Oreochromis niloticus: one gene and its partners. The protein of the gene in region 1 purifies or fractionates together with the protein of each later gene. This does not show direct contact. Links are inferred from orthologs where the notes say so. Each region holds a gene or a part of one and is shown in the gene's direction. Other genes may lie near its edges.

What was found.
Region 2: the proteins of cops5 (region 1) and dcaf11 purify together in Homo sapiens (affinity purification with mass spectrometry; 6 studies listed by BioGRID and IntAct, with this or other methods). This does not show direct contact. The link is inferred for Oreochromis niloticus from reciprocal best matches to the Homo sapiens genes COPS5 and DCAF11.
Region 3: the proteins of cops5 (region 1) and asb6 purify together in Homo sapiens (affinity purification with mass spectrometry; 3 studies listed by BioGRID and IntAct, with this or other methods). This does not show direct contact. The link is inferred for Oreochromis niloticus from reciprocal best matches to the Homo sapiens genes COPS5 and ASB6.
Region 4: the proteins of cops5 (region 1) and klhl15 purify together in Homo sapiens (affinity purification with mass spectrometry; 3 studies listed by BioGRID and IntAct, with this or other methods). This does not show direct contact. The link is inferred for Oreochromis niloticus from reciprocal best matches to the Homo sapiens genes COPS5 and KLHL15.

Annotation. Positions count from the first base shown.
Region 1 is NC_031974.2:19,440,060-19,447,185, reverse strand, and holds the start of cops5 (COP9 signalosome complex subunit 5), read left to right. Parts: upstream 1-4,104; 5' UTR 4,105-4,280; coding exon 4,281-4,417; intron 4,418-4,672; coding exon 4,673-4,907; intron 4,908-5,642; coding exon 5,643-5,771; intron 5,772-6,173; coding exon 6,174-6,239; intron 6,240-6,485; coding exon 6,486-6,571; intron 6,572-6,711; coding exon 6,712-6,823; intron 6,824-7,126. Other genes in the region: cspp1a (centrosome and spindle pole-associated protein 1), read right to left, coding at 1-166, 403-504, 1,045-1,125, 2,722-2,819, 2,934-2,979. UniProt on the Homo sapiens protein: Probable protease subunit of the COP9 signalosome complex (CSN), a complex involved in various cellular and developmental processes.
Region 2 is NC_031974.2:27,092,386-27,100,395, forward strand, and holds the start of dcaf11 (DDB1- and CUL4-associated factor 11), read left to right. Parts: upstream 1-4,989; 5' UTR 4,990-5,212; intron 5,213-5,498; 5' UTR 5,499-5,512; coding exon 5,513-5,700; exon of another isoform or gene 5,701-5,798; intron 5,799-5,879; exon of another isoform or gene 5,880-6,833; intron 6,834-6,841; coding exon 6,842-6,969; intron 6,970-7,536; coding exon 7,537-7,655; intron 7,656-7,772; coding exon 7,773-7,837; intron 7,838-8,010. Other genes in the region: thtpa (thiamine-triphosphatase), read left to right, coding at 186-665, 766-866. UniProt on the Homo sapiens protein: May function as a substrate receptor for CUL4-DDB1 E3 ubiquitin-protein ligase complex.
Region 3 is NC_031977.2:11,038,989-11,045,922, forward strand, and holds the start of asb6 (ankyrin repeat and SOCS box protein 6), read left to right. Parts: upstream 1-3,913; 5' UTR 3,914-4,064; exon of another isoform or gene 4,065-4,120; intron 4,121-4,436; 5' UTR 4,437-4,466; coding exon 4,467-4,576; intron 4,577-4,694; coding exon 4,695-4,870; intron 4,871-6,934. UniProt on the Homo sapiens protein: Probable substrate-recognition component of a SCF-like ECS (Elongin-Cullin-SOCS-box protein) E3 ubiquitin-protein ligase complex which mediates the ubiquitination and subsequent proteasomal degradation of target proteins.
Region 4 is NC_031974.2:5,866,983-5,874,675, reverse strand, and holds the start of klhl15 (kelch-like protein 15), read left to right. Parts: upstream 1-4,674; 5' UTR 4,675-4,869; coding exon 4,870-4,930; intron 4,931-5,973; coding exon 5,974-6,061; intron 6,062-6,680; exon of another isoform or gene 6,681-6,899; intron 6,900-7,408; exon of another isoform or gene 7,409-7,497; coding exon of another isoform or gene 7,498-7,517; intron 7,518-7,693. Other genes in the region: eif2s3 (eukaryotic translation initiation factor 2 subunit 3), read right to left, coding at 214-341, 419-482, 1,526-1,594. UniProt on the Homo sapiens protein: Substrate-specific adapter for CUL3 E3 ubiquitin-protein ligase complex.

The DNA of each region.
Region 1 (7,126 bases):
CTTGATTCCCGATTTCTCCATCGTTGAACACCTCGGTCAGAGTGGAAGCATCTTTCCTCTCGTTGTGAATGGGGACTATGTTTGTGTGGGTATGCTTGTGATGGGATGACAGGGGGGAGGCAGGGGGAGAAATTTTCAAGCCATCTGAAGCCTGAATCTGTCCACGCTGAGAATGAAAATGTGAGGAAGAAATTCAATGTGAAAAAAGATTTACTTTGTAACAGAGTGCTTTTCATTATTTATCTTTCAAGTACTCAGTGAGCTGTAGCTACCTGATAAATGGAGGCATTTCTAGTGATAGAGAATCCTTTAAAGTGTGGTATAAAAATTGCATGGATTATTGCACCAAACACACTAGTGTTATTGTGCACGATCTGCCTATTGAGTCATCAATCTTCTTACCTTGGGACTGACAGAAGATGTTCTCCTCTTTAGCGTTCTGATTTGAGCTTGTTCTTGGAGGAAGAGGTTGTATTCTTTATTTCTCTCCTCTCTCAGTTTTTCCTGCAAGAGAAAACAAAAAGTCAGAGACAAGCAGCCACACCGCTCAGTTAAGCTCATATGACACTTATAATTTAAGAAAATACAAAACTCAAACAATACCATCTTCTATCCAAAGAAGATACATATTCTGCATGCACACATTCAAGATGAAGATGAGGTTAAGGTTATATTATTTCTGAAGGAGCTGGGAATCAAAACAATAAACCTATAAATAATTTCCAATAGGCATTATCACTCAGACTAAGCACTCTCATGATAGCTTAGATGGATGCTTCAAAATCCTACAATAATGGAGTTTTGGGGATTTTTTATTTTGCCTCAATATTTCAAAAATGCTTGCATCAATACTGATTAACATTCAGCTTGTCGTGCACATATAGACACCTGAAATTGCTCTTAACTTTTGTTTGTAAGTTCACGGTTTTATACAAAGAAAATCAGCTGCCATGAAGCGCGCAGCACTGTGCAGTCAGCAGTTTATATCAGTTCTAGCTGAAGAGCTAAAGCTCTACTTTGATGACCGAACGAATGCAGGCACACCTTTACAGATATCCTCTCATCAATCGGTAGTGACACTCCATGAAGTTGTTGTTGAGGCTGTCTACTTTTCAGATCCGTTTTCTGCAGGAAGAATAAGAGATTTGCTGTGTGTCGGCAAATGCAACACAGAGACAACTTAGTTAAACACAGACATAAACTCACCAGCCACTTTGTTAGGTACACCTGTTCAGCTGCTCATTAATACAAATACCAAATCAGCCAATCACATGGCGGCAGCTCATTGCATTTGGGCATGTAGACACGGTGAAGACGATCACCTGAAGCTCAAATCAAGCATCAGAATGGGGAAGGAAGGTAATCTAAGCAACTTGGCATGGTTGCCGGTGCCAGATGGACTGGTCTGAGTATTTCAGAAACTGCTGATCTACTGGGATTTTCCCACACAACCATCTCTGGAATTACAGAGAACAGTCTGAATCCAGGGAACAGTAGTTCTCTGGGTGAAAATGTCTTGTTGATGCCAAAGGTGAGATAAGGGAAGAATAGCAATGATTGCTTCAAACTCATAGGAAACAAACAGTAACTCAAATAACCCTTTGTTATAACCAAGGTATGCAGGAGAGCATCTGTGAACCTTGAAGTGGATAAGCTAAAGCAGATAGTGGTGGTGTAATGGTGTATGAGATGTTTTCTTGGCAAACTTTGGGCCCTTTAGTACCAACTGATGATACTACATATATACAGCCTACATGATTATTGTTGCTGACCATGGCAATCGTTGTGTGACCACAGTATATCCATCTTCCGATCGCTGATTTCAGCAGGAAAATACTCCACCATGTCATAAGCCAAAATCTTGTTCAATCTATGCCACTTAGATTGGCAAAATGGGTCTAATGTGGCGTTAGGAAGGTATACCTAATAAAGTGGCTGGTGAATGTATTTTCGTAACCATTTCTGATATGTCATTCCAGATAAAAACTTCTCGTGTTCCAGTCAATTTTAAGATTAACATTTAAGATTTATTAAGTCTTAAATGTAACACTAATGAAAAAGAAATGTCTAAAATGCACATTTAGGTGTTTTATTCCATTCTGTCAATTGGATATGTATGCAAATTAGCACGTGTTTAATCAGACACCAAATCTTTTAAATAATTCAGCACAGGCTTCAAAAAAATTGCAGTACATAAAATAATTATCTTTCTCATAATTTTCACTTCGGTGGCACTTACATTAAGCAAAGATTTCCAGTTTTATTTAACTTGATATTCTGACTTTAGATTAATTATTTTTCATATACTGTTTAGTCTACTATTTAACAATCTATTACAACAGTGAATGAAAATAACTCAGTAAAAGGTTTTTATTCTAATGCCTTTGTGTGGTGCTCTGTTGTTTATTTCTGTTTTTTTATATTGAGATCGCTTGTTTTGTTTTGGGTTTTTTTTGTTTTTTTTAAACATTTTTTTTAACTGTACAACTTTTACCTCACTAAGCCAGTTTGTCTTGGCATGTTTTTTTTTTTTTTTTTTTTAAATTTTATTTTTAATAAGCTATTCTGATTTATTTAAGACCTTTTCTTATAGGTTATATATAATATTATGCCTGATGTAACAGTAAATTCCTATTGTTTGGGCTAAATTAACTATATATTATATATTATTTTATGTTCAGATTTTAATTTTATTTATTTATTTATTTTGCGTCATCACACCCTGGATATATAGTTTCTGTAGTCCAGCTGGAGCTCCTGCTGAAGTTTCTGCTTCTTCCTTTCATACTCGGTACCCAGCAGATGACTTAAGCCAATACCTGGGAAATACGGCATATATAGAGTAGACTGTGCAATAAAAACAGGAAACTATTCACTAAACACTACAGGCTTAAATAATGCAGCCAATTCACTACTACAGCCTTGTACAGTACCTCTGTCGGGATTGGGGTTTACTCCTAGAGCTGCTGCTGAAGTCATATTTACAGCATTGTGTAATTTGCACCATCTGACCCTGACTGTGGAGAAAAACTCGCTGAAACACCGATTTGTTTATTAACAAGCAACATGTGATTAAAAGAATTGCTTTTTTTTTTTTTTTTTTACTCACCGGTTGATTAGTTTACGCCTATAAACGTTGCTTCGCAAGTCCTTGATCACATATGGCGGGGAGTTTTCTCTTCATGCTTCTCAAAAAAACGTCCCATCGTGATACACAATACACCCAATAAGGCAAACATTGGACTTACAATGGGGTATATAAACATGCGTGTCTATTTTAAGGCTCGGCTGTAACTCTGGCTAGACAAATAAGAAGCCCAAATAAGATGATATATATCAATAATTCTTAAATTTCCACACACAGCTCAAATCTATCCGACCGATCTTTGACAGCGAGCTAAGCCCAAAGCGTCATTCCGTTGCCATGGGCAACCATGACACAAACCTTCTCCTGGGAGAGGCTAGCAAACACATCTAACACAAACATTCAAGAAAATATATCTAATATAGTCCAAATATTAAGTCTTTAATAACTGCAATATTTAACACTAGGATCTGATTTGCTGTTTCTTTTTAATCGTCTTTAAACAACATAAAACCAGGCAAAGTTTATCAACAACATGTTAATAAACTTAACATACTGCTGTTGTCTAAAAATGATACCATCTAGCCTTAACCAGCAGCCCTTTCGGCTATTTAGTAGCTCTTTAACTTACTAGCTGCTGCCTTTTTCCAGAATAGTATTGCCTAATTAATGAATACTAGCTTTAGTTTTATTGACTCATTAAAAACCTCAGCTCCCAGTATAAGTACAATGCCGAGGCTCTAAGAAAAAAGCCCTCACAGATAGATGTAGGTACCTTTCTAAAAAGCGCCGCTAGATGTCAGTGCGTCCCCAGCGGTTAGTTTGACGTCGTCGCAGGACTAAACCATGGCTTCCGTCACAGGGGTAAATATATTTTAATAAGAGTAATAAATACGATAAAAATATGATCAGTGAATGTAATATCATCATATATCATTGTGTTGTAGTGTTAAGAGATGGCTTATAACAAATAAACGCATCAGTGGTAAATATGTGTAATATGAAGACGAACGTCCCCGTCGATTTCACTTTGTTGCGTTGGTATCGCTCACTGTCATGGCTCCTTGAGCGAGTGGCTATCTGCTCCTAAAACGATATCAAAATCTTTCGGGGAGAAATACAGCACTTCTTCCCTTATTTAAAGAAAAAATCGGGGTTTTTGACGGCTCGGGTTTTGCTTGGATACATTATTAACATGGCGGGGAGCAATACGGCTCAGAAAACATGGGAGCTGTCTAACAGCATGCAGGAAGTTCAGAGCATTGATGAAATTTACAAATATGACAAAAAGCAACAACAAGAAATCCTCGCTGCGAAGCCATGGACGAAAGAGTGGGTGCAAAACGACATTGTGGTATTTAGGTTTCTGTCTAAGTATTTAGGTGATTGCTGAGCTGGCGTATTCGTATTACATGTTGTTCGTTGATAGTTTATTGTTAGAACATTAGTGATAGCTTAGCTACAAACTAGCAAACCGGTCTTTATGTCAGTAGCAGTACAGCAAACTGGATGTGTATCTACAATATACGCATTGCTTAATATTATCTAACATCAATGCAAATACATTTGTCATTGTTCACCCTTTAGTCACCACTACTTCAAGTACTGCAAAATCTCAGCTTTGGCCCTGTTGAAGATGGTAATGCATGCCAGGTCTGGAGGAAACCTGGAGGTGATGGGCCTCATGCTGGGAAAGGTGGACGGTGAAACCATGATCATCATGGACAGCTTTGCTTTGCCCGTGGAGGGCACAGAGACCAGAGTCAACGCCCAGGCGGCAGCCTATGAATACATGGCTGCCTATATTGAAAATGCCAAACAGGTGGGACATTGACTTCCACACACATGAAGAGCATCGTGTTTGAGTTATGACTTAGAAAGAAGGAACCGAACTATAGCCTAGATAAAATCAGACTTGATTTCGCTTGAGACATTAACTTAATACTTTCTGTGAATGTCACTGGTTTACAACCATTACTTTTTCTTTTTTTTTTACTTAAAGAAGAGTGTTTCAGCTGATTTAGAACTGTTTTTTTTTTTTTTACTTAATATCAATATGATATTTACAAACTATAAAGGGATTATTTGAAGCCATTACTGTCTTTTTATAGTATTAATATTTTGACAGCCGTATATAACCACATTTGTCTGCCTTTTCCCATGCTGGGTATACGATCACTTACCTCTAACTCATTTTCAAGCACGTTATTGTAGTTAATGTTGCAACCCAAGAAGCAGGAATACAGTATGAATATATTATAAGGCTAATAGGATTTGCACTCTTTTATATTATCTAGAAATCATTGTAAATTTTTGTGTAAATTGTACTATGTAATGAGGTTTCTCCAGTCCCTGTTTAACATACTCTATCCAATACTCTAATGAATTCAAGTGACTACACAAATGTGGAGATTTTTCTTAAAAGAAAAAAGAAAGATAGGAAAATGCTACTTTAGATAAGGATAAAAACTGTAAACTGTGTCAAATACATTAATGTTATTGACATCTTACACTGTCATAAAGAAAATATGATTTTATATTATCTATAATTCCTCAGGTTGGCCGGCTGGAGAATGCGATAGGCTGGTACCACAGTCACCCGGGCTATGGATGCTGGCTGTCAGGCATAGATGTCAGCACCCAGATGCTCAACCAACAGTTTCAGGAGCCTTTTGTGGCTGTTGTGGTAAGATGGGAAATAGTAACCATTTTTATTTTGAAACTAATGGTTTTTGTATTTTTTTAACTGTGACTTCTATTTTCCCACTTTTCAAATGGAGCTTATCCCATATCCCACGTCCCATTAATGTGGGTGTAACTGAGAAGGGGGGAAGATTACTGATGGATGAGTTGTAGATTTGCACGTAGTACTGATGAATATTTTGCTATTACAACCACATATGCTATTTACACTTCATTTGGTTTAGCGGCGCTTAAATGCCAGAGGCATCATGTAATTAAGTGTGTATTTTCAGCACACTGACAGCCCCAGTAAAAAGGCTCCTGGTGGCCACATTTGAGTCGTCCCCAGAGGTTTGTGTGACCCCTGACTCTGTTTTCCTGTTCTACTGTATCTTGCTTCCTATAGATTGATCCCACTCGGACTATTTCTGCAGGGAAAGTCAACCTCGGTGCCTTCAGAACCTACCCGAAGGTAAAGCAAAGACTTTATATAGCAGCAGTCCTCTTTGGTCTTTACTAAAATCACAAAATATCTGCTTTTTTATTCTTCTTGTGCATAGCTATATTTGATCATTTTAGTAGTTTTTATATACTGATGTTATTGTTGTGTATTTATTAAGAATATATTTATAAATTTATTTTCAGTCACTCTGTATTCTTAATTCCTTATTACTGTAGTAATTGCTAGGTTCTTAGTATTTCCTTTTTGGATTTTTAGGGTTACAAACCCCCTGATGAGGGACCCTCAGAATATCAGACTATCCCCCTGAACAAGATTGAAGACTTTGGTGTACACTGTAAACAGTGAGTATTTATATTTGCTACAGTATTGTACCGGATCAAATACTTGTGTAGCATGTACTGTATCACACATTTTTCACTGTTTACTTTATTTTCAGTACTTGCATATGCGCTTCTTTTTTCTCTGTCTCTCTCCTTTTTAGGTATTACGCTTTGGAGGTTACTTACTTTAAGTCCTCCCTTGATAGAAAGCTCCTGGAACTCCTTTGGAATAAATATTGGGTTAATACCTTAAGTTCTTCAAGTCTCCTCACGGTATGTAGGGCATTTCAAAAATCAAAATGTTTGCTATTTGTTTGACATTTTGATTTATGGTTAATTATTACTCTATAACTCATTTAGACATGTGGTCACCAGCTTGTGATGTCATGATTTATTGCTGCTTATTAGCTAAGCGTCCGTGTTTGTTGATTTTAGTAATAAGCTGTACGTGAACTTTTTTCACAATGGAGATAAGTATTAAAGCTGGAGCCGACTCCATGATGCTCCTTTTCCCCCTTGCTGTTCGTTCGAAAGCCTGAAAGCCCCTCATGTAAATTTGCATTGAGGCTGCAGGAA
Region 2 (8,010 bases), about 7.7 Mb from region 1:
GAATTATAAACGGCCACTGAAAGGCTTTTCCAGCATTTAATGGCACTAATTGCTGTGGTTGTTGTGTAACTGTAGTGACACTAGCCATCTGTCTTTGGTTAATGATGAAGTTTAATTATCTGTATCAGCCTTTTAAAATTTTATTTATTGAATTATCTATTTTTAAAAATCCCTTTTTCCATCAGCAGTTTGCATTGGCCAACGGCAGATTCACGACCAGTATTTCGACACTCCTGAGTTTCACCTGACTTTGAGGGACATGTGGCTGCGTAAACGTAAGGGATGCTGGGAGCTCAAGTGCCCAACAGCAGAATCACAGAGCGGGAAGCAGGGTGAAGCAGCAGCAGCACTGTGCACCCGTTACAAGGAGATAACCAGCCTGCCTGAAATTCACCTGAGAGTCAAAGAGGTCATAAAAGAGGACAGAGAGTCAGAGGCAGGCTTCTCACATGAAGATGAGTCGTGGGTGAGCAAACTGAACCTGGTGTGCTTTGCAGAGTTTACAACAGCACGGCGCTCGTTCACTTTAAAGGAGGAGGGCGTGCAGGTCGATCTGGACCAGGCTGACTTTGGCTATCATGTGGGGGAGATAGAAGTCCTTGTACCAGAGGGAGGAGATGAGCAGGCTGCGCTGGAGAAGATCAGAAAAACGGCGGAAAAGCTGGGTATACGCTCTCAAACATTTAACACATCCGCTGCCTTATACTGATTATTATTAAGCGTACCTGTAAAGTAGTGAAGAATTTTTTCTCTTTTTCTTCACAGGGCTTACTGGAGATCAGCGAGTTAAAGGAAAAATGGATGTTTACCTCAAAAGAAATCACCCTGAGCACTATGCAAAACTGCTGAGTGAACACATCCTCTAAGAGATCATACTGCATCTGTACAAATATGGGAACAAACAAAAGGTCTTATTTACTGTAAAAGCTAATATTCTGTAATAAAGTATAGATTTATAAACTCAATAGACTCTAAACTGTAAAGCCTACTGGATGGTCCATGGCTGCTGTCATTGCTATGTGAACTTTTTGTATGCGAGGTTATGTTTTAGGGGCTTTTGGGAGGGGTTTGGCCATACAATCAGAGTTTATATTAATTTATCGCTAATGATGACAATGTTTTCTTACTGAGAGTAAAGATGTGTACTCACAAAGAGGCTCAAAGAGGAAGAACTGGTTTGTGACATGTGGCAGAGGATCTTCTGATTGCTCGGCACACGTTTTTAGAGTGATGAAACGTCCCATTGTCTTTTCACAGAAACTTTCTTCACGGTGTTTAAATTTGAATGTCTCAATAAAAACATTTGCACTTGAATGTTCTACATAGCGTTCAGACTTTGACCTGTTACATGTAGATACATATCTTTTGACATATGCCATGCTTTGCAAGCAGTCACCTTTAGGCGAGACAGTTTTTGGAGGCACTGATTAGTTTGTCACGTCCACGTCATTATTAAGTAACTATTAAGTAATTACACAATAATACATGAATAACTACAGTTGATTGTGTGTATGTGGGCGGAGGGTGCAGGTATGTTTGTATTCCTGTCTGTATGAGAACATTTACTGACATTAATCCATTCCCCAACCTCTTAATCCTAAAATAAACTATCAGGTGCCAAACCCTACCCAAATCCTAGTTTTAACCCTTAAACCCAAATTATAACCCCAACAAAACAAAAGCCTCCTGTGCACAGCCATGTCTCAAAAGGGCACAATCACACACATTTAGTGAGTGTATCCTTATAGCTGCACTCCTTCCAAAACAGTAACTTCCCTGCATGTTGCACGTTCAGGTCACATCTGTAAGTTGGAGCTATGGATAAATAGGCTCCAAATAGCCAGTGTTAGATCCAATTTAAGACCCAGGTTGCACAGAACAGAGTGAGGACTGCACCCTTTCAACTAAAAAAAACATGTCCTGCCACTTAAGTCAAAATAGCTATTGCGCAGCATCTTGATTGTCCCAGAAATATTTCCTCCTTCAACCTATTGTTTACGTTTACGGTTACATGCATTGTTAGAGTTATTATCATCTTAAATCTGATCATGAGAAAATGTTTGCCTGCTGCAGAGACACACAAGGGGCTGCACTGAGCGTGTTGTTCACGGTGGGAAAAAAAAAAGTGCTCGAGTGATGTCATTAAAAAGCTTCCTCGCCTCATGACTACCTGTTTGTTTTCTTCAAAAAGATTTTTTTTGTCATGATGTGTACCAGAGATTAGATAGAAATCAGTCAGTTCAGTGATGGTTACAGAAAAAGGAGGCAAACAAACAGTTAGAGGACAAACTGTGACCTTAAGAACCTTGCATTTTAAGTTTGGCTCTTTAAGCTCCATCAGTGCTGTCTGTTAAGGACAACATTTCTAATAGTCCTGTGCGTCTACTTAATGGTGATATATTCATTAGCAAGAGGAAAACACTGTATATTTTAAGCTGCAAAAAAAAATACATGTTCTTGCACGTCAGCTTGTATCAATGATAAATTACCAGAGTCATGCATGGATAATCCTCTTTCATTTTGGGTCATGTCCAGTTAGGTGGAGGCGATGGAGGAGGATTCTCAGAGGTGTAGACTGGTTCTCCTGCTGATTAGGTCTCCGCACCTGTTGTAGGCAGATTCACCTGGACACCTGGAATTCACACCACACACACCATGGCTTCTGCTGTGCACAGACAGCTGGCCCTGTTCACAGGGAGACTGCACAGGAGGCCAACTTCATGCAGGAGTTGTTACACAGGGAGTCCTGTGTCACGCAGAATGTAGATGATCCCTTCATTTAAAAGAAAACAAAAAAAAACATTGTCTACGAATCAGACTGGACAGACTGGCGACCTGTCCAGGGTGTACCCCGCCTCTCGCCCTATGACAGCTGGGATAGGCTCCAGCGCCCCCCGCGACCCTGAAAAGGATAAGCGGAAGCGAATGGATGGATGGATGGATGGATGGATGGATGTCTACGAATCAGACATGCAGTGGATCGATTCCCAGTTATAAAAGTATCCTTGAGCAAGTACTAGCCCTTTGAGTTTCCCCTGATGCATCCATCAGAGTGTGAGTGTGTGAGAATGTTAGCTAAAGGTGTGTAGGTATAGATGAAAGCACTGCATGACGCTGTATGTGACTGGGTGAATTAGATTTATTATACAAAGCACTTTGAGGGCTCAAACTGAGTAGAAAGGTGCTTTATAAGCACCAGTCCTGTTATCAGGGGCGGATCTGGTGGGGGGGAGGGCTTTGTTTTCTTAGAAGAGATAACAATATAATAAATTTATATATATTTATATATACTTTTTGTGGATATTTTGTTTACTCCATTTACAGAGGTATGTGCTACCCTGTGTAGATCTCTTGCTCCTCCTTTGCCCTCACATGTAAAATTTTCTAGATCCGTCGCTGCCTGTTACCATTTACAGCTTCCATGTACAGTAATCACAAGAGAAGTCTGAGTGTTTCAAACTGCAACAACACTTATTTAATGGACACCACGGCCCATAAGTCAGGACGTCATACTTGTAGCAAAAGAAAAACAGAGTAAACCTAAGGCAGTCTGCATACGCTTACAATGTGATAGATGTTGGAGCAGAAGTTTATTAGCCAGACATCAAAACCAAGAGTAAATTCTGCTGAGGTTGTTTGCATTTTATATCTGGTGAGAAATTATGAGTGGTTCACTTCTATGGGCAGTTTAGAGTCACCAATCATCATCTAAAACAATAACTCTTAAACCAGTGATCATTAATAATGGATGATTCCTAACAATATTACAGCCTGTATCCGAGGCTGTTTTGTGCCTATAAATGTGCCTTCTCAGATATAACTTGTATGATATCCACTGGTGTTTGGTAAATAATAAAATAAATATATTGTAAAACATGTAACACATGAAATTAGTCAGTTTTCAGCCCAAGGCCCATCTGTAAGTGAGAGGCCCTGGATGAGTGGTTCAGCTGTCAGTATGTTGTTTGAATCTTCCTGTACCCTGTCAGCAAATTGTTCTGCGATAAAGAGCTTGCAGACATGTCATGAATTCAGAAGTCACATGTTGTGGGCTTTGATGACTCAGACCTTCTTCTCTTCATATTTACATTTTATTTGTTGTGACACCCTCCGGAACACATTCTAAAATGTAGATTTTAGAGGCGAAGTTAGTTGGGTTTTTGAGCCCCACGTCCACACAGTGGCCCTGGCAGCCCAACCCTGGGGGACTGATAGACTGTTTTGTAGGACCTAAATAACGCATGTGTCAAAAAATAGACGGGTTATTAAATTATAGACCCCCCCGGGCATAGATGACAAACACCTTCTTTACCGTGAGCAACCTCAGACTTGATTCATTATGTGGAGGTGACACAGGATTGAGCAGTACAGCCGTTCACAATAAATAAAATAGATTGCTCAGTGGCACTTTAAGTTGCTTAGCCTGACATGTTATCATTCTTAGTTTCCTTCCACTTTTACTCTGTGCGCTGTTTTCATTTTAGTTTGTTTTTCTTTTTTCGGAAACAACAAAACAGCAGTTTCATGTTCCTGAGAACTTAGGAGGTACTAGCCAGAAAAGTCCAAGTCCATTCATTACGAGCCCCTTCAGTGTACGACTAAAGCCTGATGTTTATCCTTATGTTAAAGTTATGTGACGCCTAGATGGGCTGTACATGCTCTGGACATATAAATATACGAAATACATTAAGAAATATTCTAATTCAATTATATTATATATTACATATAGATTATATTTATTATGTTTCTTCACAAAATAAAATAATAAAATGATAAAATAATATATTTGAGTAAAAATTCCTTGTAGATGGCAAAAGAACAAAACAAACAAAAAACATCTGGTTTATTTTATACTCTAAACTTTATTTAAACCTAGCAATAAATACTTTCATTTTTTGAATAGCTTCATGGTAAATTGTGTCGCTGGCAGCGGCTTATACAACCGGGCTGGTCACGTGACGCCGAAAGGGCAAGCGGGGGGGGCACGCGCAGGGTTTTTTCACACTTTTGTAAACAACATGGCGATTCACGGACTGGCTCTGCTAGCAGACTGATCAAACACTGTGTTCTCAGACCTCCGGCTCTCTAGCTTTGTGAGGGGGTTGTGTTAGACGGTGCGGAAGTTGTACACCGAGCACACGATCCAGTTCGCGGAGAAACGACAAAGAGGTGGACCGACGAGCTGTCAAGAAGATCGTTTGACAGTCCAACGGTAGCCAAATGTTATCGTTAGCATTATTAGCTAGCTCGAACTAAATATTCCCCAAGCATTTTAAACATGACGAGCTAATGTGCAATACACGGATAGTTAGTTTGTACTGAAGGAGTGGAGAGGTTTGCGCCAGTAACTTTAGCTGTTTTAGGTTTAACGCCGTATCCAGCAAACATTATTTCCTAGCTGCTGTGCTTCTCGTCCCTCTCTAAGGTGTCTGGGATCACGTGACGTTGTCAGGTAACCCTGAAATTGTTGTTACACGTCTCGTTATTCTCTCTGGTAGGCCATCTTCAGTCTATGGGCTCACAGTCCAGTTCTGGGATGTCTGGTGGAAGGGGCTCTTCCAGTGGCAACCCAGGAGAGCAGTCTGAAGCGACAGAATCAAACCAGGGCGGCAGCAGCAGCCGAGGCCGCAGGACGGACAGGCAGTCTTCATCAGAGGAGGACGTTGACTTAGCAGAAGTGCTGGCTTACTTACTGAGGAGGTGATTTTCACTGTTAAAAACGCTCAATCTGATACCACCCAGGGCCCAGGTTTGTAGCAGAGGTACTATGGAGCTGTTTTGGTGAAAGTAGGTCATAACTAGCAGAAGTAAAAATGAGCAATTAATACATAAAAACACAAGTGCAATAAAGTCAAAGTCCTTCTAGTAGCAAGTCATACCACTTGGCAGCAATATGCAATGGTGCAGTGCAATACATCCATCCACCACTTGTCTGGGTCATGGAGGCAGCAGTCTTAAGCAAGAGCTCCTCCTTTTAGCCGAGAGACGTAATGGTTATTAAAGATGATGGCACTCAAAGCATTCCACAATTCAAACTGTGGGAGAGTTCTGCAACAGCAAAAATGTTGATAGAAGTAAAACTTGTTGGGGGCAAGGGAAGAAAGCTTTTTATTAACACATGGCTGGTGATTCTGTGTGCGCAGTTTATACGTCCTGCTGACAACTGAAATTAGAATGAGATAATTCTTCAAAATTACTGCCCAGAGGCGTTTCGTGGTGGCATCCAAGTGGTGAGGACTACATGTTTTTGGACTGCCCTGGGGACTTGTAGCATTAGTTCATTACTTTACATTTCTTGAAGTCAGAACTAGGACAGAAGCCTTTATCACATATGTGTGTAGTTGCTGCAGTGAAAATGACTTGTGTGTGGTGAGCGTATCGGGCGCTTATTAAATGACATTTAGAGGCAAATAGAAGTAATGCATGCAGTGTTCTATCTCACTGCCAAAGAGCAAATAATTGAAATGTCACATCACATTCCAGTGCTGCAAAGCTAAGTGGGGGTTAAGGTTTTCCCATTTCAGTTTGATTTAATTGCACTTGGAGAGGCTGGGAATTTTTTTGGATATTCCTCTAATAGTTTCTTTAGTGAACCGTGACATTGGCAGGGCCTGCTCTCGTGACCAGAGGGAACCGAGATCTGCAAGAAAAAACATTTAACATTTCTCACTTCTTTAGCGTTTAAATGTCGTCATTGCTACATGTTGTACAGCTGGACCATTTAGCTTTGGTTTCCACCTATCAAGTCTTTTTTTTTCTTTCTAGTTACATCTTTGCACTAGGGCAATAGATAATTAGATTAATCATAACTGATTAATTGACTGGTTGCTTGCATGTGCAGGGGTCAGGTAAGACTGGTCCATGGCAGTGGAGCCACGGGGCTGCAGCTGGTCCAGTCGTATTCTGACTCTGATGAAGACAGCGATGGGGCCTGGGATGGACGGCTGGGTGACCGCTATAATCCACCAGGTAACCTCCCACTGACACAGGGCAGGAAAATAAGTAGTTTTTTACTTGTTGGTTTACTCTTCATTTATACCCCTAAATGCATCGTTACAATGATCACATAATATGGAAAGCTAACAGATCTATTTAGAGTGCAGCCATTGCAGTGCAGAAATACATATAATTACTTTAGGACGATGTCTTCTCTTTCCAAGTAGTGAAGCAGTGGATGAATGTCAGTAAGGTTTCATTTAGAGACATGAAACCTTACACTAATGTTATTGTCTTGTTTTCTCTGCCATCCCAAAAATGTTATTTATGGAAACTTCAATTCAGTTTTTTATTTTCTAGAACTAGTGAGGCCTAAATACTGTTTCTTCTTCCTTTTGTGTGTTTCTTCTTTTCCTCTCTTTGCATCGTCTGTCAATCAGTGATGGATCAAACATAAAACAATGTTTCAATTGTCAAAAATTTCCATGGATTGTTCTCTCAAATATGTAGGACAGCTAATCGGAGCATGCCTGAAGTTCTGAGAGCTTGTTGTTGAATGTGAGCTCCTACTGAGGCTTGTTCTTTGTGTTCTCCCTTTAGTGGACACCCAACCTGACACACACGAAGTGGACCGGAGTGAGATCCGCACTCAGATCCTGCTGGCCACCGCCTCCTCTTCCTTGAAAGGCTATCGCAGTTTCACTCGCATGCTAGCAGAGGTCAGACCCCAGAAATAAAATCTAAATGGAAAATAATTGCGGCACTGGAGTCGTATTAGTTTTGTTTATAGAGTTCAGTGAAATTATGAAACTGCAAACAAATGTTTTTGTGTGCAGAGAGAAAAAGGCAGATGTAGAGGCTCCAGTTTTTCCCACGGAGAGTGCAGTCGTATCCGTACGCAGTAAGTAACTTTGGAGTATTTAAAATCTAAATTAGAATTAAGTAGCAGTTAGTTTAGCATGACTAAAATCTTGATTGGACCATTGTGCTCTGTTGGAGTGGAGGGATAACTGCACAATTGCTGTGAAAATATACAATGCATTGGACATGAAGAAGACGAAATATTAAAATTGT
Region 3 (6,934 bases), on another chromosome or scaffold:
GGTCTAGGGTGCAGTTTGTGTGCCGATGCTGCTCTGCTGCCACCTAAAGGCAGAATTTGTATCAACAGTTATTTAGACAGCAATCAAACAGTACTCTAAACCTAAACATCTTCAAAATAATAAAGTCACCCTTGAGTTATGTACAATGCTCAAAAAATGAAAGGACCGCTTTTTAATCAGAGTAAAGCATTGAGTCAGTTAAACTGCTGGGATATTGATCTGGGCAGTTAAGTAGCATAGGGGGTTGTTAATCAGTTTCAGCCGCTTTAGTGTTAATGAAATTAATACCAGGTGCACTAGAAGGACAACAATGAACCATCCCCCCAAAAATGAGTAGTTTTACTGATGATGTCAGGGACATTTTTTCTCTTCTCATCTTTTCTGCCTGTTTTTTCACTAATTTTGCATTTGGTGAGGATCAGTGTCACTATTGATAACACAAGGTGATACCTGGACCCTACAGAGGTCCAACTCCTCCAGGGTGGCACATCAATACATGCCACTGCCAGAATGTTTGCTGTGTCTCCCAGCACAGTATTGAGAGCGTGGAGAATATTCCAGGAGACAGGCTATTACTCTGGGAGCGCTGGACAGGGTCATAGAAGGTCCTTAACCCATCAACAGGAGCGGTATGTGCTGCTTTGTGCAAGGAGGAGCAGGAAGAGCACTGCCAAAGCTACAAAATGACCTCCAAAAGTCCGGTGTTATGAATGTCTCTTACCAGACAATCAGAAACAGACTTTATGTAGGTTGGCCTGAGATCTCAACATCCTCTGGTGGGCCCTGTGCTCACTTTCTGGAACTCTGGTGCCCAGCTGGCGGGTCCACCGGTGTCATCCTAAGCACATGTGACAGATGTGTAAGGGTCTGGAAAAGCTGTGGAAAGCATTATGCTGCCTGTGACATCGTTCAGCATGATTGGGCTCATTGTCAGACCCTGCATTGGTGCAGTGCGCCTTGGGTTCCTCCTGGTGCATGACAATGCCCAGACTCATGTGACAAGAGTATGCAGGCATATTCTGGAGGATGAAGGAACTGATACCACTGACTGGCCGTCACACCTCTCATACAACACCTCTCATACTCTGGTCCGTCTGACACTGCCAGGTTGAACCTCAGACTGTTCAGGAGCTCAGTGATGATCTGGTCCAGATCTGGGAGGAGATCCCCCAGGACACAATCCACAATCTCTTTAGAAGCATGCTCAGATGTTGCCAAGCATGTGAGGGCCATAAAAACTACTGAGTACCATTTTGAGTTGCTGCAATGAAATTCAGCAAAATGAAATTTTCGCTTTGGGTTTTTTTTGGGTTGTGTTTGAGTTCAGCCCTCTGTAGGTTGATCATTTTCATTTCCCTCAAACGCTAACAGACTACCCAGTCAATGTCAGTGTAGCTATCCAGCATGATTTGTTTCCCACTGAGATCTAATGTGATTTCAAACTGTTCATTTAATTTTTTTTAGCTGTGTATTTGTTCATTAATTTTAACATATTAATCAAAAATATTTACTTTCCCTGTTTGTTTGTTTTTATTTAAAACTACAAAAAGAATATGCTTGTATAGCTAATTTGTCTTCCTCAGCATTTTTTGCACCATTTTGTAATGGTTTGAGACAGTGTGTCAGCAACAAAAACTGGATTAACATACGTGCAGTCGTTGGGACGGGTGATGTTTAAAGTCAGACACACAAACACATGCGCTAAAAATGACATCCTGTGAGAGAGAAGGCTTTCCTCTGTGGTTCTCAAAGTGAGCCATCTGTCAACAAACTCCGACTCAGCAGGAGGTTGTTTGCTAAACAGGACGAAGGCAACTGTTAACAACCAGATGCTGTCGGCATAATGGAGAAATTGTCACAAATGCGAAAGCTGCTGTCCTGGAGTAATGTGCCATATGGACAAAAGAAAGTGTTTTAGAACTGCTCGTGTTGGTGGGAGAAATATTATGTTGGTCAGTAAGAATATCAAAGGAAACATATGCTAATGCTAATCAGGCACTTGATCGTTGGATGGAAGTTGGTATGGTTTGATAAATACATGACAGTTACCATCAGAAACAAAGACTGATTTGTGACATAAAATAATAAACAAATAGACTGAACTGGACACACATGTTTGAGGAAAATCCTGGAATCTTTCCCAATAGTATTGTCTGTTTGGAAAGGAGTTAAAAAAAGGAAATTGTGCAGCTTTCTAAGTAAACCTTTGCTAAAGTTAAAGTTTATTATCAGAGTCTTAAGGGTGCATATAAAAAAAGTGTACACAGTCACCATGCACCATCACTCATTAATTAATGAACTGAGCATTTTGGGCACTGCCAGCGTTGTTTTAAAAAGCAGGGGTTTAACTGACTGAGAAATGGCAGGAAGGTGCATGTCCGTATGATACAGGCTTGTCAATCACAAGGTAGGTCTGCACTAAAACACAGCATGCTTTATCCTCATTTTGATTCTACTTGGAGCCATAATTGAAAATAACAATAATAATAATGATAATAGAAATCAACATCATGCTGCAATCAATTAAATCTACAATCAAAAACCGAGCCTGTGGCTTATCAGAGCTCATAGACGAGGTACTTTTAAAGTCTCATTACTTGGCAGTGACCCTAAAGTTTTGAAGAATTATTCAAAATAATTACAATAGTCACCGGGATACAAAAACATTTTTGGATCCGTTACAGTTAATTAAAAATTGTTGCTAATATTGACCCAAAGTAAGAAGGTCCCTCTTGGAAGTTCTGCTTCAGTCACAATGGCTGCTGTTGCAAGAGTTTTCTCTTTAGGACTGAGCAGCCTGTCTTTCCCTTCCAATATCTCTGTTAGTTTTCCAGCAGACTTCCTTACAGTCATACTTGTATGTTTTTATTTTTTGCACTTGCTGATTGTTTTATACCACTGGTGGTAACTGGTTGTATTTGTTGCCCTCTTCACGAGATACCTTTTGAAAAGGATATTTTTAATGTCAATAACACCGGATAAATTGGCATAAAAAAATCTACAGTTTCTACCTGTGACAGGAATGTTATTTCTACCACAAAATAACTCAATATCATTCTTGAAAAATATATTTGACAGATCATAAGTCAACAACAAAAGCATTTTACTTAAAGCTACAATGTGTAAATCATCACCAATAGATGTCAGTATGTTGGAGACCGCAGTCAACTGAATTCTGTTTTCTTACCCCTCAAAGTTCAAGTGCTTAATACTTGCTACAGTTACATCTATAGTGATTATATGCTGTCAGTATTTAATCAAGCTGTTAATAATAAGAGGGAAAGTTGTGATTTTTAGTACACTCAAGCCTAACCATAGCTCGAACATTGCTAACCAGCTGTTCTTACTGTTTAGTCAGCTTGTCCTGAGACAGGTGGGTTGCATGTCTAATCTGCTGACAATAAGTAATTGCAACCATATCAGGAGATGAGGCTTGAGGTGAGGAGGAAAAGGATGAATTAAAAATGAGGGTGCATGGTGGAAGAAACAATGACAGTAATAAGGAGATGAGGAAATTATAAATGAGGAGATGTGCAAAATATAAATGTTAAATAATCATACACAGTTTGAAATCACACAGTTTGTGATTATCAAATTAAAAGTGACTTAAAAGTGACTTATAAGACATACTATGTATGTGGTTGATCTTTAGCCACATACATAAAAAGCTATTAGGTGGAAAAGCCATGTCCGTGTCTGCAGCTGTATTAAAGATGGATGGTTTCCAGAAACCAGCGCCTGCTCCTATGTAGTTATAATTGATTATAATGAAAACGCCTCAGATTGCGGGAAGGCCTGATTATACACTAATTAACCTTTAAATACCCGAAATCACTATTTGGCATTTAAATTCTCAATAAATGTCTATGTTTCAATAACTGAAGTGGTGCAGTGTGTTTGCTTAGTTACTCATTTTTGATTGAAGGACACGGACTCGAAAGAGGAACCTTGTTTAGGCTTGTATTTTAAATGGGAATGAAAACAGCGTCGGACGGATGCTGGCGTGAGGAAAGCTTCCTGTTTTGAAGGGAGTCTGCTCTGAGTGACTTTCCTCTCTTATAAAAGTAATTTCGCTAAGACATTTATTTATAATTTAGCAAGTTAAGAAGTGATACATTTGGTAAGTCATGCTGTCATTGACTGCGACACTTTTGTCGCCATTTTTATAACATAACTGTCGTTGCGGTTAGCGTATGTTAGACAAACGGTCAGCTAACGTTAACTGCACGGGTCCAGCTAACTAATCGGTATTAGGAGTAAATATTATTTTATATGAAGGATTTTAAAACCACTGCGTTAGCCTGTTACTGTGACGTGTCACCCACGATATGAATACTTTTGTCAGCTGTACTCAGGAGATAAACTTTGATATCTGCGTTGCGTTCTCTGTTAGACTGACACACCCTCAGCACACAGCATTTCTTTTATGCTTTTAGGAGCTAACCTAGGATCACCGAGGCAGAGCCATGCCTTTCCTCCATGGATTTCGCAGGATAATTTATGAGTATCAGCCGCTGGTAGATGCTGTCATGTGTGTTATTGGACTGGAAGAACGAGATGACATTGGCGAGGAAAGGTAAACCTGGCTATTCGGTTACAGTCCTCTTTTGGCAGTGCTACACTGCCGTAATTAATTGTGTATCAGATAACACACAAAACATTACATATAAGGTGCTTCTTTCTCCTCCTGTCAGGAGTTCTGAGGAAGAATCCGCAATTTCTAGGTCTCTGGTGGAGCTTCTGGAGCAAGAATCCCAGTCAGAGGTGTTTGTGGAGGGGATCAGCTATGCCTTGTTCAAAATGGCAGAGCGGGGTCTGGTGCAGCCAGCAAAAATCCTCCTACGCTACGGAGCTGATCTCAACTTTGAAGGTTAGTAACAGTTTGGGGTGTGTTTTAGATAATGTGAATGTTTTTAACTTGACACTGTATACACATTTGTTTATTAAACCTTGCCAAAGAAAGAGAGAGATCATTTTATGACTGTGCTTAATGTCATTTTTTTTCCTCCTATGATCCAGTAGTCTTGTTGCCAGTCTTGTTGCCAGTCTGGTTCATACAACATTTAAGTGACAGTTGCTCATGCATTTTAGCAACATGCAACTTAATGAGCAAGGCAGAAAGAGACTGATTCATGGCTTTTTTTCCCCGAAAACCCAACTTTACCAGCACCCATACCACAGTGAAATTCTGGTTACCCAAAAATATCATAACATCTATGCTGGCTATAGGCTAGAGAATTGTGCATTTAAACAGGATTCCACATTCACTGGCACAAAGACAGTACGATAGTAAACACAAGCCCGATGTTGGCTATTTGCACATGTATCTTTATTGCCAATAATGATAGCTGATAAATAAAAATTTAAAAAAGCAGAGAAAGAAACACTCTTCAACCAAGATGTGATTGTTGATTTTGAATCACTTATCCACCAGAGGGCACTCTGCAACTTCATTTTTAGAGCACTACAGACACAACAATGAGTGCGTTGTCACCATAAATCATCATATATCAATATCGGTCTTAAAAATCCTATGTTGGTCCGGCTCTAATCAAGCGTATGTACCAACAAGAGCAAGCAAGCTGCTACAATACAAAATCTGTAGGATGAGAAAACAAATTGGAATAGTTTTCTTGGCAGTTTAAAGTTCATTCAGTGTCTTGCCATTCTAGCAAAATTTTCCGCAGCAGTTCCAATATCAGAATCAGAATCGGTATACTTTATTAATCCCTAAGGAAATTATATGGGTTACAGTTGCTCCAGTATAAATAACAGAAACAGACTAGACTATTTAACAATACGGTATGTTACGGATTTAAGAAATAGCACAATATATACAAATCACTAAATAATAAAAATCAAGGATTGACAGAGGTGATTATAAATAAATATCACAAATGTTGACAGGAATATTACAGAGTAGAAAGAGCGTGTGCAAAAAGAATGTAACTGTTGCAGTGTTTACAGTGTATTAGATGGAGGAGTTGTATAGGGAGATGGCCATGGGCAGGAATGATTTCCTGTGTCATTCAGTGATCATGATATGTCATATCATGATACGTGTACTTCAGAACATCAGATTCAGGTCCGCTCAGTCTTTTGTCAGTGAGCGTATTACTAAGATGTGTGTTCAAGCATCATAAGTGAGCTGATGTAGGCCCAGACTGCAGGAAGGGACATCACTAGGAGATGGCAGATGTCATTAGCAGCAGCCTCTGTGGTTCAAGCTCCAGGTCACGATGCTGGCAGAACTGCATTTTTGCAGCAGTCTCCACTGCTCTGGATAGTTTACCTTCTGTTTTCAAAAGCCTGGGGAAAAAAAAGTGTGTGTGTCATTTCTGTGCTACTGATTTGGTTGCTGACACAAAATAACCAAATCCAACACTCCCAATGTGCCGGTAAGCAACAGAAATGTTTGTTAGGCAATGAACTATAGCCAGTTATTTGCCTTCAAACATATTTGTATCACGTTATTAATGACAGGGACGCCTTAAAAATTCTTTCATAGGAATGGCCATATGGGTGGCACACTAAACACAATTTCCCGTTTTTTTTTATTATGCTGTTGTTAAATATTGGATACTTGAAAAATATGGCAAAAAAGAGATAAAGAAAAGAATTATATGCCTACGTAATTTCCTGCTATTAAAGTTGTTATCCCTGAAAATGGGTGAATATGAAAAACAAATACGCAAATTTTGGGGGGTGGCCAGCCCCCCCCGGCCCAATAGCACATTTGTTTCTTGCAACTGAAATTTTGCAAGCTGTCGCAAATGATATTCAAAGTGCTGAATACTGTTTTTGGCTTTCTAATATTCATCTCATTCCTTCCTGGGATAGTTCATTACAGATTACGTTTAATGACTTATACAAACATGAGACCACTGCCATTCTTCTACACGTAACAAGTAACACATGCATAATGAGCCAGTTA
Region 4 (7,693 bases), about 14 Mb from region 1:
GACATTTTATGTAAATGCTCTGTTACCTGTGGTAACAATTTGTATTGACAATAAAGTTAAATGTGTTTGCATTTGTAGCCTGTAGATGGGAAAGCTCACGTTTGAAAGAGTAAATCCTGAACATACAAACTTCCACTGCTCTTTAATCTAAAACACTGAGGTCCAAAAATAGGCAAAAATAATAAGAACACCTAAGAAAATTCACTCCCTTACCTTAGCATTGGCATATCCAAGCTTGATGGTGATGTTCCTCTCCAGCTCATTCTTGAACCTGACGGTGTGCACGCCAGAAATAGCTTTCACTACTGTGGACTTTCCGTGGGCCACATGACCGATGGTGCCTAAGAGAGAAGAAGACGGAGGTCAAGCCCTATCAAACCCTACAGAGACATCGAATCCGATCAGCTGTCTTCCATACCGATATTGATGGTGGCCTGTCTGCTGATGATCTCCGGAGAGAGAGGCGTCAAGGTCGACACGTCCTGACAAAGAGAACAACGCAGATTAATGACTCGTCATGCCAGGACCAACCGCATCAGAGTGAGCGGTGTGCTTAATCCTAAAGAACAAAGAGGGGCAGCAGCTCACAGGCAGAAACAAAACCACCCGGGATTGTTCTCATAAAGCAACACAGAACTGCAACAATCCACAAGTACTCTACTTTTCCAACAATATAACAGAAATCATTAGGAATTTTATTGTAGGAGTGTCTAAAGAAGCAAAGTTTCAGGTGATGACTGTGTCTGGGAATAAAAGAGTTTGATAGCGACTACAATGTGTGAAGAGCACTAAAACAGGACTATTTTAATGGCACAAGCCCTGATTACAGTTAAACAATAAGGTTTTGTTTCCCTTGTAGGACACATGCAGCACTACACGTAGTGTTTTTGTTCTCATCTCATAAGTCACAACTAACGAGAACTTATGTTGAATAAAGACTAATGTTATTTAGTATAAACACGAAAAACACGCTAAGAGTCGCATCTTTGACCAACATTTTTGGTACTAATTTTCCATTTATATAAAAGGTGAGAATATGAGCTATAACAATGTAAATCAAATGAGTTAGAATGAAAGCTTTACAAGCTGAGTGTATGGTTTCTTTTTACAGCTTGGACTAACAGGAAGGATATAAGCTTATAAAGGTGTTTTTATGCCGGACTAAACATTAAGAACCATTTTCTAGATTCTAACAAAGATGGAGCTAACTCCGTGGAGCTAACTAAAATTAAACCGGGATAAACAGGCTTCAATAACGCTGATATCTATTAATATCAAGTGTAAGTCTTTCAACGTGTGAATCGTGTTAAATATGGCTGAAATAACGCTGCAATTCGTGCTGGAAGTGCAACGGGTCTGAGCTTTCCGCCCAGCCTGGGCCCTTGCGTCATGTGCCGGGTGGCGCAGCACCGGTATCCGTTACTATTCTCCCGGCTTTCTGTGACCGTTTTACTGAAACAACGGGCCACCGACAGCCGCCAACTTAAAACCACACTGCTGTAAAACACGATAAACAGACACTTACCAGAGTACTGAGGTCCTGTTTGGCCAAGTGAGGCTGACCGAGCGTTGTGCCTGACTCGTCGCCCGCCATCTTGAAAGAAAAGGGAATGAATAAGGAGGCCCGACCGAATGCCTGATCAATCGATTAAACCGGCACTCCTCTTCGCCTAAAAATGTTTTCAGCCAAAATAAATTTCACTCCCTGGAAGCCTGGAAGAACTTATTACAGCGTTGTGCGGTATGTTTTTTTTTTAGCGGTAATTTCCAGGTATAATTTTAAACTTAAGCGATCCGCCCAAGTAAAAATGTAGTTGGGTCCTTTCTCGAGGGCTGATGCAACAACCGGAGCGGTTCTCAGTTTCTGCTGTAAATTTAAACCAGTTTAATAACCCCACACTGCTGCTGTTCGTATCCCATTAACAGCTGCTCATCAGGGAAACAGTCATGCGTCCCAAATTTAGTCCCCTTTTAAAGAAAGAAGTATACGTTCATCCATGTGATCGGACCGTCGCGATTTATTTACGTCATCTAACTAACTTTTTGTAGTTCTGGCTGTTTGGTCTACCTGAGTAGGGTTACTATTATTTCATAGTAGTTCAAAATTAAAACGCTATAAAGCCTGATTTCGGGAAACATTTTTAGTGAGGAAAAGTTAGGATATACCAATTATGGTTAAAATATAATTCACTCATTATTTAGGCTGTGAAAACATCAGGTACACTTAATGACCCCACCACCACCCACTTCCGGGGTGAAAGTAAAGATAAGATAAGATAAGATAACCTTTATTAGTCCCACACGTGGGAAATTTGTTTTGTCACAGCAGAAAGTGGACAGTGCAAAAGTTATGAAGCAAAGATTAGAATAAAATAAAATAAGAATAAATACAGTACACAACTGTACAGAATAGAATAAAATAAAATACTATATACAGTAGAATAAAATAGAATAAAATATACAATAAGATAAAAATAGAATACAAATGCTTTATACAACTGAGTAAAAATACAACGATGCCAGAAAAGATTATTGCACATTAGTGTTATTGCACATGTGTGGATGTGTGTGTTAGATCAGTTGAAGTCTTTGTTGTGGAGTCTGACAGCAGTGGGGAGGAAAGACCTGCGAAATCTCTCCGTCCCACACCGTGGGTGCCGCAGTCTCCCACTGAAGGAGCTGCTCAGTGCTGTCACAGTCTCATGCATGGGGTGGGAGATGTTGTCCAACAGTGAAGGGGCATTTGTAGGTAATTTTGAGCATCTTTGTGGTAAATCCATCCATTCAAACTTTAAAGTTACATTAAAGTTTTCTTCTTCGTGTTTTTTAATTGTTAGAAAAGCAAAATCGTGTTGCGATGGTAACTTTTCATTTATCTTTCAGGAAAGTACAGAGCAGGGGCGATTCTAGGATTCTAATTTTTAGGTGGGTCAGCTTCTAATCATAATTTCATGCAGACAGTGCCTTGTAACTATTATTAATGGAATATGCTGTTTGCAAATGTAATCAGCCCTTTTCACATTTCCAAACCTCAGTTCAGTTGGATACATGTTAGTTAGTACGTTAGTAAGTTAGTTAGTTTGATGTCTTATTGTTGTGTCTAAGAATAATTCAGAGTGAATAATCAAAGATTTTAATCCGATCCACCCGTTTTCGGGTGGAGCCTTTAATTTTCAAAACCAAGGCAAAGGCTCAGTCATAAAAGAAGTTAAACTATTTGTGGCAAAGCAGATTCAGTCTGTTAATCACATAGAGGCAGTCCACAGCAGCATGAAGTGCATAAAGAAGCATTATTCAGTACATAGACCTGTACACGATAGACAATAGAATTGTTTTATATTAAAGAAAAGAAACACAATCCCTCCCTTTGTTATACAGACTTAGCATCATGTACCCAGATTTCACAAGTGGAGAATAGATTTGTAGTCCGTCACATCAGTGCAGTGGCAGGTATCCTGTTCAGCCATGTTTAGAGTGACAGTGTAAATCCTGTAAAACACCATTCATATCAATATGTTCTGTTTAGAATGTCCACTGGCATTTTTTAAGTGTCCTACTGGAAAGCACACAAAGCCTCAGCAAAATACATGAAAAACTACTCTGTGAAAAATAACTTTTGTTTTTCCAGCCAACTTCACTATTTGCTCCCTCATTTCTCCTGTTCATGTACAACCTCTTTCCTCTCTCTCCTCCTCACTCACCTAGAAAATAACAAAAATATATTCCTATAAAAATTATTATAAGAGCAGGTTGAGGATCCATAATTGATAACACCACAGCACACTGCTTATAAACACTTATAAACAGTGTGCTGTGGTGTTATGTGAGAAATCATGATCAGAGTATGTTGGTAAAACAGAAGCTACAGCTTTTTAATTTTTGGTGAATAATTTGGTGAATTTGACCACATGTCCACTCTTGCCTGTTTCTTTTCTCTCTCTCTGGTGTCTTCGTTCCTGCTCTCTCCATTTTAGTAAAAGTATGTTTTAAATCTGCATCACTGATTTGTGTCATTAAATTAGAACTGCTCTTTCTGCCACAACAACAAAGTCTTATTTAAGCGATTAGTACTGTTAATATAGTTATTTTAGGGGCGCTCTGAACTCGCCTACGGCCCAGATTCGGTGTACATGTATGTACAGATTTCTGTGTGATGAGATGAAACGCTGTGATTAAGTGTGAATGGTACTCATGGTCATTGATCAACGATCGTCACAATTTGCATATTAACGATGACGAAACTGACACCAAGTTTCAGTCCTTATGCAGATGGACTGATTATGAGATCAGGAAACCCCGCAGTCCGCTTAGTCTGAAGAAGTCACGCTGATGAGTGAAAACGCGACGTCCAGATGAACAAAGTGAACTTTCTGGAAATTCTTTACCTGCATGATTGAGGACTGACCAAGGCATTTGTACATTTATGTGAGTGCATTATTCATGTGAAAGTGTGTAGCGCAGTTTTTTTCAATAACTTTGGGGCAATTTAGCATCTCTTTAAAAAACAAAAAAAAATCATTTTACGTGTTTTTGTGCTTTTTTTCTCTTCGTGCTTGGTTTGAGTGAGTAGCCATCATCGCAAACCGGGTATGTTTAGGGATTTTTTCTTTCTCGTTGGAGTGATTCCTCTTGGTAAATATACGATCTCTGATGCAGCGCCGCACTACGCCCTTCAGTTCCGCCCAAAAGGGAAATGACGCCGGTGCAGAAAATGGCGTCCGCAGAGCCTGTGGTCCGCTGTGGCTTTTTACCCGTTTAATTTAGCTCCGTGTAGGGGGTCTGTTCGCCTGGCAGATGGACGCTGATGCCACCATGGCAGTGCAACGCTGCCACCCGCTTTCTTGATCTCGGAATCGAACTCGCAACTTGATGTCCGACGGAGCCAGAGCTGGCTGGTCGAAGAGGGGTTGTGGAGATTCGCACCGCCGAGGTGAGACGGCTGGATTTAGGCTAAGCTAAAGCGGCTCCGCCGGTCTAAGCAGCTGTCGGAGCCCCTGTAGCTCCAGCTCGGAGTCGTGACAGCGAGTTTAGACAAACACGGAGTGAAATATCCGCTCAGTTTGCGACAGTTTCCTCCTTTATCTTCCACAAATGTACGCCGCCATGTTCCGTCCTTACAGCCGAGTGTGGGGACCGTTATCCGCCAGCGTTAGCCTTTGTTTTGGAGCTCCAGCCGCGGCTCGGAGCACGCTGTCCCCCCGCTGCTGTTTGAAGAAGTAAACACGGAAACCAAGGGCACTTTAAACCCCGTGTTGGTGCAGATTTAACACGTTAGCGGGAGGCTTATTTTTGTGACAAGTGTGCGGATGTTTTCTTTTTCACCTGGAGGCAGACCCAGGTGAGGTCAGCCACCGGGTGAGAAAGATCAAAACGAGGCTAGACCGATTCAGCGAGCTGCTTTATGTTGTCTACATCCCGTTTTCACTGAAAGCAGGGCTGAAAGGATTAATCAGCTATAGTACCAAACAAGCTTAAACAAAGTGATTAAGCCGCAACTTTCATTAACAATTTAGCTTTTACACAAATTTCCAGCTCCGCTAGAGTAGCTTAGCATGATCCTCATTTCTCAGCGCTGGAAGACATTTGGCATTTTCACAAAAGCACTGATATAATAAACATCTCAATCTTCATAATTAAAACATCACAAACTGGGACACACATGAGACCTAACTTGGAGAGCAGGTTGAGAAGAAACGCCTCTCACATAAACTAATGTATTTGTTCATCACTTGTCGCTTTAACGTTGGATTTTCCTTTAAATTGTCACATGTGAAACTATTACCAAAGAGCCAGTAAATTAAATATTCATGTAAACTGCCGACGATGTGTGTTTTACAGCTCTTCTGTGCATGAGAGCTGTGATTTACAAGCCCCTGAACGCACCGTGGACTGTTTGATGGGTATCCTCGTGTCTTCCTCTTCATTTAAACCTTCTTTGTCTCTGAGAGCATCTTTTTCTGTCTCTCCCGTCAGAACCAGGGAAGCACAAACACAGGAAATGCGAGCGGCCCCTTAGCGCTCAGCCGTCCAAGCCTGTGATTGTTCGCCCGGGCTCCAAAAGGTACGTCAAACACACAGAACTCCTTGATAAATATATATTTTTATCTTCACTCTGCCCTCCTCTAGACCATCTGCCTCATTTCGGCCCGCTGAGTTTTAGGATGTGATAGGGGGAAGGGCGAGGGGTCAAAGGTTAAAGTCTTGGATCCTTAAATTTAGCTATGATATCAATGATTCTGTTGAGTAACGTTTAGATGATTTTTATGGCTTTAAAAATCATAGAAGTTATTGTATCAGGTTTATTTCCACTTCTTGTACAGATGATGAAAAAATAAAAATACTTGTAGTTAACTGAAATACCAAACGTAAGTCACTAGAAATAAAAGTAAAATTATTGATTTGATGGGTTATTTCCTACGTTTCGTTCCCATACACTATGTCATTCCTGTCACCCATCTTTTCTTTGTCCTTCCCATATTTTGAATCTCTTTCACATCTCATTTTCATTTGTTTCTTAAGTATTGGTGTTTAATTAGATTTTTATTTTGGTTGTTAAATTCCAGTTTATTACAGTCTGGGTGGTTTTAAATTTAGACGTTATTTTGGTTTCATCTCTTGAAAACAATAACTTTATATCTGACACCAGAGTCTGAGCTTTTACCATCTGTATCTTCAAATAGGGGAAAAAAACCCACAATCTCATATTTGAACTGAAATTCTGACCCAAAAAGCAGCAGCGGGAGAGCTGACGTAGCACGGAAGCTAAAAGGAAAGCAGCATCAGTTTGGAGGGATTTCTCTTCTGCTGTTCTGTCTGTGAGGAGGTGCACGCGTAATGAAACTGAGAGCAGAGGAAGAAGAAACATGATGTGCATCACTAGTCAACTAGACCTTTAAAAGGTGAGGCTCTTGCTAGTCGGCCGATAAACGAATTATTAATGTAGCGACTGTTAGCTGTGGGTTTAAAGAGCTTATGACGCCACCAGCAGGAGGTGCAGCTCTCGTACCGTGATTGATTGTCATGAAGTTCTCAGAGTCTGACGGCAAAATCTTGAAGGATAATCAACAGAATCCTAAATACAACTGATTTCCATACCAACCTGTTCCTGAGGTGGATAACGTCCAAGATTTTCCCCCCAAAAACAAAATGCAGGCTGTAATAAACTGGACTCATCTTTTAATCCCACCATCATTTTACCTCCAATCAACTTTTACTTATATTTTTTTGAATGATGATGAGTAAACACACTGAGTTTATCATGTATATGAACACTAAACTGTTGAAAGGACTGTTGAGACTAAAAGTATACGGATGATTTATGATTGTAAATCACACATGTTTGTCCACATATTTCTGGTGAAAGTTTGCAGGAGTTCACGCTTTAATTGTTGTTGGCTTTGTCGTCCAGGTGATTGACGCTCAGAAAAGGGACTTTGTTAGCATCTGCTGGACACAAGGGGCACTGTCCTCTGATTGGCTCGGACAACCCCCTCTGACATGCCCGTGGCCAATCAGAGGTGAGTGTGCTGCGTGTGTGTTTACGTTCTCAGTGAGCACATGTGAGTTTCTGTGTGTTTGTGTTCTTGAAAGGGTTTCCTCTCTTCTCCGTCAGCTGGTGTGTTGCAGTGCAGAGTAACAGCTTTTTGATGCGCGGCGGCTGAAGTGCAAAGCTTTTTAACATCCCTTTAAATGA